Linked DNA regions of Oryzias latipes. The protein of the gene in region 1 interacts with the protein of each later gene in a pairwise test. Links are inferred from orthologs where the notes say so. Each region holds a gene or a part of one and is shown on either strand. Other genes may lie near its edges. The genes, in order: mid2, leng1 and bysl.

Region 1 (3,655 bases):
CAGAAAGTTCAAATCCTTTGCTGGGCAGTGCTGAAAAGAACCACAGGCAGCCATGGACACTGTGTGTGTGGCAAACAGCTTACAGTAAACCCTCCTACAGGCTGGAGGGAATAGGGTCGCTCACACTTCTGAAAATAAAGCCTCCTCTGATGTGAGTTCACTCAGCGAGAGGTGTTGAGCAGGAACATTTTCGCTGACACCGTGCAGCAAAACTGCGGGCGACAGCCACAGTTTTCATAACACAAATCATCAATAATACAGAATGTGGGAGTGCATTTACACCGAGATGAAAAGGATTTTCCCGAGCCGCTGAGAACATTACTGCTGTGTTTTACCTCCAAGACCTGATGAGATTGATTCCTTTGTGCTGCACAGGGACCACGAACAATGCAAAATTGACACGCAGCTAACACAACTCTCACACCTACACTTTTGCACTTTACAGTGACTGTTAAAGCACAATTGTGCTTTAGTGAAATGGTGGAAAAAGGATATCTCAATTAATAAGGAACATCTTAAAGACCCACTCCAATAAAAATTGTATGTTTGGTGTTTTTAACATGTTCTTTTGGTCACTATTGTTGAGAACTCTCTGTTTACGTCCCACTAGATTACAAAGGATGCAACTGAATGGGACGGAGCTTGTGGTCCAGCAAGCATATTTTCTACGCTCATCTGCACCAGATTCACAATGTTTTAAATAAAGAAATACTCAGAAATTACATGTTAAACTTAATTTTCTTCACATATGTCCATTATCAGAAAAATACCGAGGTGAATGGGGGGCGTGGTTGCTCCGCAACAAGACTCCGGTCCACAACTGAACAACAAATTTTGAATGAACTCCTGCTGATCTGCAGAGAATATGGCTAAAAAGAGCAATAATTATAATTAAAAGACCACTGGGAACACTTTAAAAATAGATCAGAAGATGATCAGAGTGGGTCTTTCAGGGTTTAACTGTACCTGTATAACAATAAACAAGTACATTTTTTAATGTAACCTTTCCTCTTCCTGTTTTTGACTTTTTGTTTTGGTTCATTTTGAAGAATAATGTATCCAGTTCAGCACATTTCAATATCTACTTGTCCTATCTTCTCATCAAGCCTTAACCTCCAGCACACATACTTTGGAAATTATTGCACGAGTTCTGATCCTCCAACTGGCATGTCTCCACACATTTGAACAGCCCTACAGCAGAGGAAGCACGCACAGCTACTTATTACAGCATTTTAAATTATGTTCATTTTTCATTTGAAACCTAAAATCTGTGTTAAAATGTTTTGCTTTTTCCTTCCTCTTTTTCTGTCTAACTTTCCTTTAAATAGCACAGAGGCAAAATAATAATCAACTGATTCACATTCAGTGCCCAAAACACACTAAAAGTTTTAAAGCCAGCCAACAGAACTGCTTTGAGCAATTTTTTTTTCTTTTTTGGTGGAGTTAGCACTGGCGGCGGCCTTCCTCTGTTGTTTTTCACCCTGATTCAGCAGTCTCAGTTTTAACGCCGAGCTTGTGAAAGCTCAGTGTCCACAGGGAATGCCAGCTCATCGACTATTATAATGACGGCCCTCTCTTTTGGCCTCCATCTCCCTTCGCCCCTTCTCACTAGTAAACCACACTAATTGTCTCTTTTTTGTGTTCAGGATCAGCCTTTCTGTAGTTCTTGCTAACCAAAAGAACTGGTGTTTATGAATTAACCTCGGTGGGTCTTAAATTTGAGAGTCAATAAGACAAACATGTACAGATAGGTATACAAACATGGCACGTTTTTTTTTTTATATAAATCCTTATTATCCTTGTTTTTCATGTAAGTTTTATGACTTAAATTAAATGTAAGACTATCTAATTATGTGTTAACAGGTAAACTAAATCAAAGCACCAACCTTTAGTTTGTCAAAGCGGTCTGTGAGCGAGGACACCTGGTGCTCCCTGTGGCGCCCCACCAACTTGCAGAGGGAACATATGAGCTGGTCGTCCACCAAGCAGTACATGTTGACCTTCTCGTTCTCGTGCTCCAGGCAGGTCAGGCCGCGGAGGTGGGTGTCGGGCACTGGCTCCACCAGGCGGTGGCTGGTGAAGGGTTTCTTGTTGGGGTGTGTTGCGCGCAGACAGCGGTCACAGTACGACACCTCACATGTAACGCACGTCTTGACGGCCTCGCGCGGCGGATCCTGCTCACAGAACTGGCAGCTGATCCGTGGCTCCATCTTCACAACGATGGCCGGGCTGTGGTTTGCGTTGTTGTGGTTGATGTGATTGGTGTGGTTGGAGTGCGGGTGCGAATGGCTGGAGGTGGCTGGGCTGCTGCGGGCACTTCCTCCGCCTGTGCCACCACCTCCGCCGATCGTCCCGGCTATTGTACCGCTAATGGTGGCGGTGTAGGGCCGCTGCGGCTGCAGGCGCCGGCTCTCTGTGGGGGAGTTGGGTCCACTCAGGGAGGCCTTTTGGAAGCGGTCAATGATGTTCTGCAGCGTCACATTGCGCTTCAGGCCTTCTAAGCCACGGTGATTCAGCGTGATGACGTAGCGACAGGTGGGGCACTGAAAGGCCGAGATGGATTCCAAGGGTTTGGTGGTGGAGCAGTGAGACACCAGGATGCGGTGAGCGCAGTTGAAGCACAGGCTGTGGGCACAAGGCAAGAGCAAAGGATCTTCAAATAACTCCAGGCAGATCGGGCAAGTCAGCTCAGACTCCAGTGTTTCCATCTTCAATTAAACCAATCTAAAGAAGACATCAAATCCCACGGAAGCTGGCCAAGTACCTGAGGGGAAGAGAGAAAACAAAATAAAGGCTTACTGAGAAGGATCTTCTGAGGCATTTATTCATAAAGAAGTGTCAAAAAGGAATTTAAGATTTATTTCTGATTTATTTTACTTGAACCAAATATAGAATATTTTGTTGAAAACAAAGAAAAAATTAAAACGCTGCAGGTGTTGTTGGTTTTTCTTTTCACTTTTATTGATAAATAGTGTAAGTAAAACTTCCTGTTTTATACAACAATGAAAATACAATGTTCTAAATTTATAAGTAACTGAAGAAAACACAAATAAATCTATTTGCGCCTAAACTGTACCATTCAAAATCTATAGTCTTTCCTGCCCTGCTGTTTTTCTGTGCAAGGAATCGTGGATAACACTTTAATTCAGCAAATCCATTATAAAACAATCCCTTCAATATTTTGAGACTTTGATCGTTTTGGCAACTTAGCGGCCTTGTGGGAGAGTGTTCACCTGAGCCTAGAAGTCTGTGGGTTCAAATCCTCAGTTGAGTCATACCAAAGACTAAAAATCAAAACCCAATGTCTCAGCATTGAAGTTTTGGATTGGTGAGTTAAACACCTAAAATGTTCTAAAGCACGTCTGTGTCTGAAACTTACTGCTCCCCAAGAGCATGGGTCAAAGGTGGAGAATAAATTTCACACACCAAGGTGTGTGATAACTAAAGGGTGTTTACCTTATTCCTGTTGGGATTTCCTTGGAACATATTGTAATGGGGGATTACAGAGATGAGCAGTAAAGATCAGCCTTCAATACATATCCATCTATCTTCTTCCGCTTAGAATACATATGAACTTTCCAAATGATACATGATTGCTGTGGAAATGGTTTATTTGATGAAGGTATGTTATCTTTAAGATTTTACCAACACAAGT
Region 2 (3,755 bases), on another chromosome or scaffold:
TCAATTATGCCCTTCCTCTTTTCCGATTCTTCTTCTTCTTTTTCTGCGCTGCTTTGCATGTACCATGGAGTCACCTCAGTGCCTGGTTGGGGGCCTAAAGAAACAAGCAGGCCGATGGCTCGCTCTTGCTTCTCCTGGACAAACCAGAGTAGCTATGATCAATATTTAAAATATTCCATTTCAAATAATTGTATTGGAGAATAAAAAAAACTGTAATAAACTCCATTGCCTTTTCATGCAAATTGTTCTTTGTGTCATTTTTCCTTCTCTAATAGATGACTGAACATTGTTGCATAAAAGTAGAATCAGAACTTCCTGGTAAAATAAAAATCCTGACAGAGTCTGATGAGATCCAGCTGCACGTTTTTGCCACTGTAGAATAAGAAACCACAGCAAACCAAGTGTATTAGGTGGGGAAAAGTGGATGTTTACCTTTTTAAATTAGCATTACTGATTTAAAAATCAACAAAAAGCTGCAGAGTGCTACTCATTTGCAACTTGTAGATGAGCAACCTGTTTTTTTTCTTTTGAGTACAGTGGTCCCTCGCTATATCTTTCACGCTCTCGCTGATTTTTTTCATATTTCTTTTCATTGATTTCTTTTAACAGCTCAATTTGTTCTGCATCCTGATTGGTAGTAGACTTTGTCAAGTACTTTCCTCCAAGCGGTGTCTCCTGTACAGAATGCGTTTAGCTTGCCAAATATCTAAATCTTCAACCACAAACAGATTTTTTTGTTTTATTCTATAATACATGACTTATTTTACTACAAATGTTTGAACTTTAAGAGTTTAAACATGAAACAAAGTTCCGTTTTACAGCCTTAAAACATCTCGAATTCTACTTTGTGGATTTCACCTGATGTGGGTTATTTTTAGAAGATAACTCCCGTGATAAACAAGGGAAAACTAACTGTCAAGCAAATGCAGTCTGGTTGTTAAAAGTGTTCATTCTTTGAATGCAGAATTAGAATGAGAGTTTCAAACATGAAAAACACAATAGTTATAGTATTTTATGCACACAAACAAAAATAGATGTTAATCTGTGCTGGATCAGACAATCAATTTCCTGGGATTTGTACACCATTCCTCTCCTACAACAAATGAAAAGAAAAAATCCATAAAATGGACTTCCTAAATTATTTTTAGTGAGTGTTTACTCAGATAAACCTGTAATTTTCAGAATATAAACAGAAGTAGCAGCACAATCACCGTTTCCTCCTTCTTCTCTTTGAGATACTCTTCATTCCCCTTCTTATCTGAAGACTCCTCCAAAGGAAAAAGATTGAGATGCTCCACATGTCCTCCGCTTTGACTCCCATCATCTCCTGTGCTTTCCACTGATTGGAGACCAGCTCGGGCCTTTCTTCTCAGATATTCTGTTCGCGCCTGTGGAAACAAACCATGACAATTTTTGCATGTTATGAAGTTTGAATCTATTTCAGATTATCAACACAATAAAAAATAAACATCAGCTCCATATTAGCGATGGAACAACACACTTTCTTAATGATAGTGTTCAAACCTCAATTTTGTATATGATTTGTGAATAACAACCCCCCAAAAGGAAAGGAAAAAAATACATATAATCTACTCAGTTGCAGAGGTTTCCAACTCATTTTCAGCTCAGAACCAGCTAAACTGTCACGTGATCTGTTAACGTATACTCTGCCAGCACGAAACACAGACAGATGTAAACACAAAAAACGAACGGTAAAACTGAACATACTTCTTGCTCCGCGCGCTCCACGCGGCGTTTAGCCTCGCGCTCCTCTTCTGCAGCCTGGGCTTCGTCCCTTCGCACGCGCGCTACATTGTCTTTATTGCGGACATGCCAGCTTTTCTTCGGAAGGATATTCATGATGGTGTTACTGTTAGCAGTTAGCTAACTCAAAATTTAGAGGAAGAACAGACCCGAGCCTTTGATCTACAACAATATGGAACGCGAATCAGCCAGGTGACTGAGTCTGATATGATTAGTAAAGCAGAAATTAGCAAAAAATCTGCGCAATTGTCTAGATTTTAAAACATTAGCTTACATTTTTTCTACATTAAGTTAGCATTCATGACGGCAAACCTGGCTCGTTAAAAGCACAGTATTATTTTTTTTAATATCCTAAGGTCTAACAACAAACAAATCTGTCCGACTTTTTGGAGAGTTCATCTATTCCAGGTTTGCTGTGGTCCACCGGAAGTAGTAGACCCAAACAGGAAGTAAACAAAAAAAGTTACAACTCTTGAAGCAATTACAAAGAAGAATCGTTAGATGGAGCTGGAGCGAGCGCCAACTGGTTTATTCAAAAGAAATAAATGTAATGGTCATAAGCGAGCAAGACTAAACTTTAAAAAGCAATAAAAAAAAAAAAAAACAACAGCAAACGAAGGACTTCTCATTAAAAAAATACAAATAAATCACAACATTTAAAGAAAAGAATATAAAAAGTTTGAATACATACCGTAGTCTCAAAAGGGTCAAAAATAAACAATTATTTTTGGTTGCTCTCGTCTTAACAAAAACACTGTCCAACTGTCTTGTTTTTTTAAAACAGTATTAGAGGTTCAATTTTTTTACATGCATTTCTTTGCAAAGTCTATATCCAAAAATGATCAAAACACCTGTTTAAATGATCACTTTTAAAGTGCTTAAAGAACAGTGATGTTTAATGTGCAACATTTTTAACATTTTATTTTGAAAGAATCTGGTGTAATTTCACTATGTATATATAATATGAAGCTTTTTTTTTCTTTTTAATAAACATCCTTTCTTTATGACATCGTCTCATGTTACTGTACTGCAGAGACTAAACATTGTCCAGAGGCTGTTTAGTCTTGTAGTGGTAGATACAGTATATATATGTATCTATCAAATGGTATCTTGGTCATCTACCGACTTAGTTCCTCAATCTGCTTGACTAAGAACTGCTTATCCCGGCTCTCCTGTAAAAACAAAAAAGACCAGACCCTGTATTAGTTAAAGTAAAAAAGGAAATATTGAAAAAAATCTTTGTTAACTCATGGCCAATTCTTAGTATACTGCTTTAGATACCATCAACTTACCCGTTTGAGCTGCAGTCTTAGCAGTCCAACACTTTTCCCATAGATGGAGAACAAAGCTATGACGTAGCACATCACCAAACTATGACGGAGAAACAAGTCAGCTGGTAAAGAATCAACTGGCATTCAAAGAAAAATATCATCTATATCTGCACAGTGCAAGACAGTTCAATGATTTTCATGTAAAATGAAAATGGATTTACCCCGATAATGAAAACAGGGGGATTGTAAACGCCTGTGAGCCAATGAAGAAAAGAAACTCTTGTGTGGCTGCAGAGAGGTTGTAGAAAGATGTCGGTATAATCAACCACATGTTGTCAGAGAACCGGAAAGGCCCACATCCCCGAGAAGGATGGATCCTGTATGGACAGACACGGAACGTCACTCAGACATAATTTCATAAATCTCTACAAAGCCATCGCCTTTTTTGTATTGCGACAAATTGGCCAAATTTTGACTTTCTGACCAGTAGGAAAAATAATTGTATTATTTATGTTACCAAGAAACATCCACACTCACACAGCAATGCTGTAAATCATGACAACTGAGGCCAGCATCCAGCCTAAGAGCAGTACCACCAGGAAAAAGAAGGCTGAGGTGGTGGAGCGAAACGTTTTTTGGGGTGGCCGACAGTTGGAGAACAGTGTTATCTGTTTAGGAAAGTGGCAATAGAAACAAGTAGATTATCAAAAAGGAATGAGT
Region 3 (3,535 bases), on another chromosome or scaffold:
ATACATAGTGCACTAAATAATGCATTCGCCATTTTGTAGTGCTGCCCGAATCTACATTTCCAAAATCCAGTGCCCTAGAAATTTCCAAGAGGTCTCTGCAAAATTCCAGTGTGCATCGATGCTCACTAGATCAACGAATATAGACCACAATGCATTGCGTCGGAACAATTTTTGCCAAAAAAATGTATTAAATTGTATGTTTTTTAATAAACAATCAACGTTTTCGTTATCTTCTGAAGACAGTGGACTCATAAATGATCATCGCAAAACACTAATTTTAAGAAGATTTTAACTTTGTGAAATCGATGATTTCATATTCGCTATTTAAAAATAAAAAAGTAGTCAGCATGGTGTCGAATTACTTTAAAATTCAGGGCACTACATAGTGCCGCACTATATAATTTTTTAGTAGTTGGGGGTTAGGGTGGGAATTCAGACACAGCCTTAGTATTAATGTAGATTCGTTTCCAGCTAATCAGCAGTTTTCTCCTCAATTAGTGTCCCTGAATGATGTAAGATGTAAAGAAATAAATCAACTTTTACAAATTAGGTTTTTATTTTTATTCCAAATAGTTTCCTTAAAGAAACAAAAATTTTACCAAACTCTTAAACTGATGTAAGGACAGTTATGGGCACAAACCGGTTCATATTGTTCCTGGCGTTCTCTAGGGAGGCACAGAGTTTTGAAACCCTCTCCGTGTTACAACAAGAAGTTTGATTTACTGGAAGATCTATAATCATAAAGAAATGTGAGAAGAATGATCAACTTTCCTAGCATGAATCAGTGCATTTCTACAGTAACAGGAAGCCCAATTTCAATGTCCCTGGACTCTGAGTTTTGTAACTCCCTACGAATTTCTGCAGAAATGGGAGGGTGTGTTTGAAGCTTGAGTAGCTCCAGCAGAGCCGTTTTCTGTTCAGAGGCCAGGTCAGCCTTGTAGCGCTGTGCCAGGGTGAGCAGACTCTGATGCCACAGCACAGGAAGAACACGTTTTTCACTACGGAAAGACAGGAAGTGGGCCACCAAGGCATCCAGGACACGGAAAGGCAGGGCGTACTTCTTGTCGAGCAGCAGACGCAGGAAAATGCTGTTGGCGCCGTTATACTCCATCTCTGCCAACTTCAGCATTGCAGCGCTGAAAGGCAAAATCAAACCTCTTATGTAATGTTGGGCTTGCCACAGTAGAAAGTATTACAAAGCTGGTTTTATCAAACAATAACATCTGGACATCAGGGTGCAGAGGCCTCACCTGGAATGCAGCACAGGGATCGAACACTTTGTGAGAATGCTGCCAATGATGATGGCTTCTCTGAGAGTGCATGTCCCAGATTCACACAGAGGAATCAGTATACCTGTTTAACAATAAAAAATAAACCAGGTGAAGACCATAGGGAGTAAATGCTCCACAGGGTAAATTTCCATAAAAATAAAAAATAAACGGGTTCTATATGAATTATTGAATTCGTCTAACATGTTACATTTTGGACAACTGTTAGCTTGTGGGCAGCTTTATAGACATTTGCATGATAGGTTTTATTGTTCATTTCATTCAGACTCTTGTAAAATGCTTAAATGCAGTTTTGTTTAGGACAAACGTTCAGCTTGTATGCAGACGATGCAGTCTTTTACATACATTAGGGCCGGCCAGCTCATTCCTGGTCCTGGAGATCTACCACCCTGCCTGTTTTCCAGCTCTTCCTGCAATCCTTCCTGCTGATCACCTGGATGGAACAGGTGTGTTCATTCAATCATTATGTGGAGATATCTGACTGAGCTAATCAGGACCCAGGAGAGCTTGGAGATCTGGGAAACAGTCAGGGTGGTAGATCCCGAGGACCAGGAACGAGCTGGCCTACATTATGGAAACACTTTAAACGGTTTCTAAAACGGTGACAAATCTTTCTGCTTACCCATCTAAAAACAGCTTGAATGTTGTTTACTAAAGCTAACAACTTGAAAGGTGTTCTTAATATATATACATCACGCAATGTAGAGAAGATTGAAAGTTTTAGGTGTTCACTTAGACCAGGGGGGTCAAACTCATTTACATTGAGGGCCACATCAGCATAGTGGTTGTCCTCAAAGGGCCAGATATAACTTATACATGTAACTTAATGTAAAGAAAAATAAATGTAACTACTCCTTAATGTTAGATTACTCATTTGTTTATTTATTATAACTTTTTAAAGTGACAATTACAGTTGCATAGAAACATATGTTTTCTTCTTACTTTAGCATAAATCCTTTTACATTTGATTCTGTCAGGTTAGGTTATATGGACAGTGTTTAAGTCCTAATGTATAGTTGCCCAATCTGATATTTCAAGTCCGATTCCCCCTAGATATGAATAAATACACACCAATTTTTATTTTAAGAAATTAAAAACCTTTATGCTCTCGCAGGCCACATAGAATTTTGCCCCGCGGGCCTTGAGTTTGACACGTGTGACTTAGACCAAACATTTCGTCAATTACACAAGTAGCATTAATGATGTGGCTAAAAGCCTCCAAAAAGAACCATTTCTAATTCTAAATAATAAACATTTAGCCCATGTGCTATCTTGTGGGGTCCAGATGACCCCCACCCTTACATTGACGTGTTCTCCCTACCATGACAAAGGTGGATAAAGGTGAAAGATTTCATGTAATCCATGGACACCAGTGAAGATCACAAATCATTGAAGAAAAAAGGTTCAGAGCACTGCCTCCAAGAGACAAACTACGTGCCTCCAAGGCACGTTAATGTTGGGAGTGGGGTCATCTGGACCCCACCAGACAGCACAAAGGATAAAAAAAAAAAACTTTTTAGCATAAAATATTATTAGTTTTGTTACCCTTATCAGGTATGAATGTATGATAAAAAAAAATTGCTCCACAACCCTAAAAAATTGTTCAACATAGTCTACAGCAGAAAACTAATAAGTGGAAGCAAATGGATAGAATACCAGTTTAATCTCCATAAGATCCTCTCCCTTTTTGCACCAAGACATTAGAAAAAAGACGTCCAGATACGTCACAAATACGGGCCTTCAATAGTCGCTTATTAAACTTATCTGTGTTTCGTTTGCACTCATTTAATTTCATTTTTCTCTATTGTAAATGTAACTTTATAATGTTTTAGTAGTTTGCCCCCCCACACACGCACCTGTCCAGGTAATGTGTGACTCTGAGGTCAGAGATAGTTTAGCTCAGTAGGAAGTATCTGCTACTGCTAATAAATATAAATACAGTTCTGTTTTATATTATGATTAAAGCTTTAATTATCATTACTCATCTTGAGAGGATAATACTTGTATCAATGGTTATGGAAGCTTAGGTATTAAAGACAAAAGATGATGTTGCTGCACTGGAGAGAAGCACTGCCACCTAGTGGTGACACTTGGAGGGGATGTTATGTTTTAAAGTAGGTCATAGTTTGGTTTGGAACAATGGTCTTCTTAAACTGAAACCCTTTTTAAACATGAACAGCAACAGCATTAAGGGATAGAATATCTTTATATAATAAAGTTGTAGGTATTGAAACTATTTGACTCAG

The links.
Region 2: the proteins of mid2 (region 1) and leng1 interact in binary tests that used the Homo sapiens proteins (3 or more experiments, as listed by UniProt). The two-hybrid records come from large-scale screens. The link is inferred for Oryzias latipes from reciprocal best matches to the Homo sapiens genes MID2 and LENG1.
Region 3: the proteins of mid2 (region 1) and bysl interact in binary tests that used the Homo sapiens proteins (3 or more experiments, as listed by UniProt). The two-hybrid records come from large-scale screens. The link is inferred for Oryzias latipes from reciprocal best matches to the Homo sapiens genes MID2 and BYSL.

Annotation. Positions count from the first base shown.
Region 1 is NC_019868.2:12,745,662-12,749,316, forward strand, and holds part of mid2 (probable E3 ubiquitin-protein ligase MID2), read right to left. Parts: intron 2,765-3,655; 5' UTR 2,709-2,764; coding exon 1,887-2,708; intron 1-1,886. UniProt on the Homo sapiens protein: E3 ubiquitin ligase that plays a role in microtubule stabilization. Mediates the 'Lys-48'-linked polyubiquitination of LRRK2 to drive its localization to microtubules and its proteasomal degradation in neurons.
Region 2 is NC_019874.2:19,390,966-19,394,720, forward strand, and holds the start of leng1 (leukocyte receptor cluster member 1), read right to left. Parts: upstream 2,200-3,755; 5' UTR 1,861-2,199; coding exon 1,729-1,860; intron 1,389-1,728; coding exon 1,212-1,388; intron 135-1,211; coding exon 1-134. Other genes in the region: tmc4 (transmembrane channel-like protein 4), read right to left, coding at 2,883-2,936, 3,057-3,135, 3,257-3,412, 3,573-3,703.
Region 3 is NC_019863.2:2,266,067-2,269,601, forward strand, and holds the end of bysl (bystin), read right to left. Parts: intron 1,354-3,535; coding exon 1,251-1,353; intron 1,137-1,250; coding exon 782-1,136; 3' UTR 538-781; downstream 1-537. UniProt on the Homo sapiens protein: Required for processing of 20S pre-rRNA precursor and biogenesis of 40S ribosomal subunits. May be required for trophinin-dependent regulation of cell adhesion during implantation of human embryos.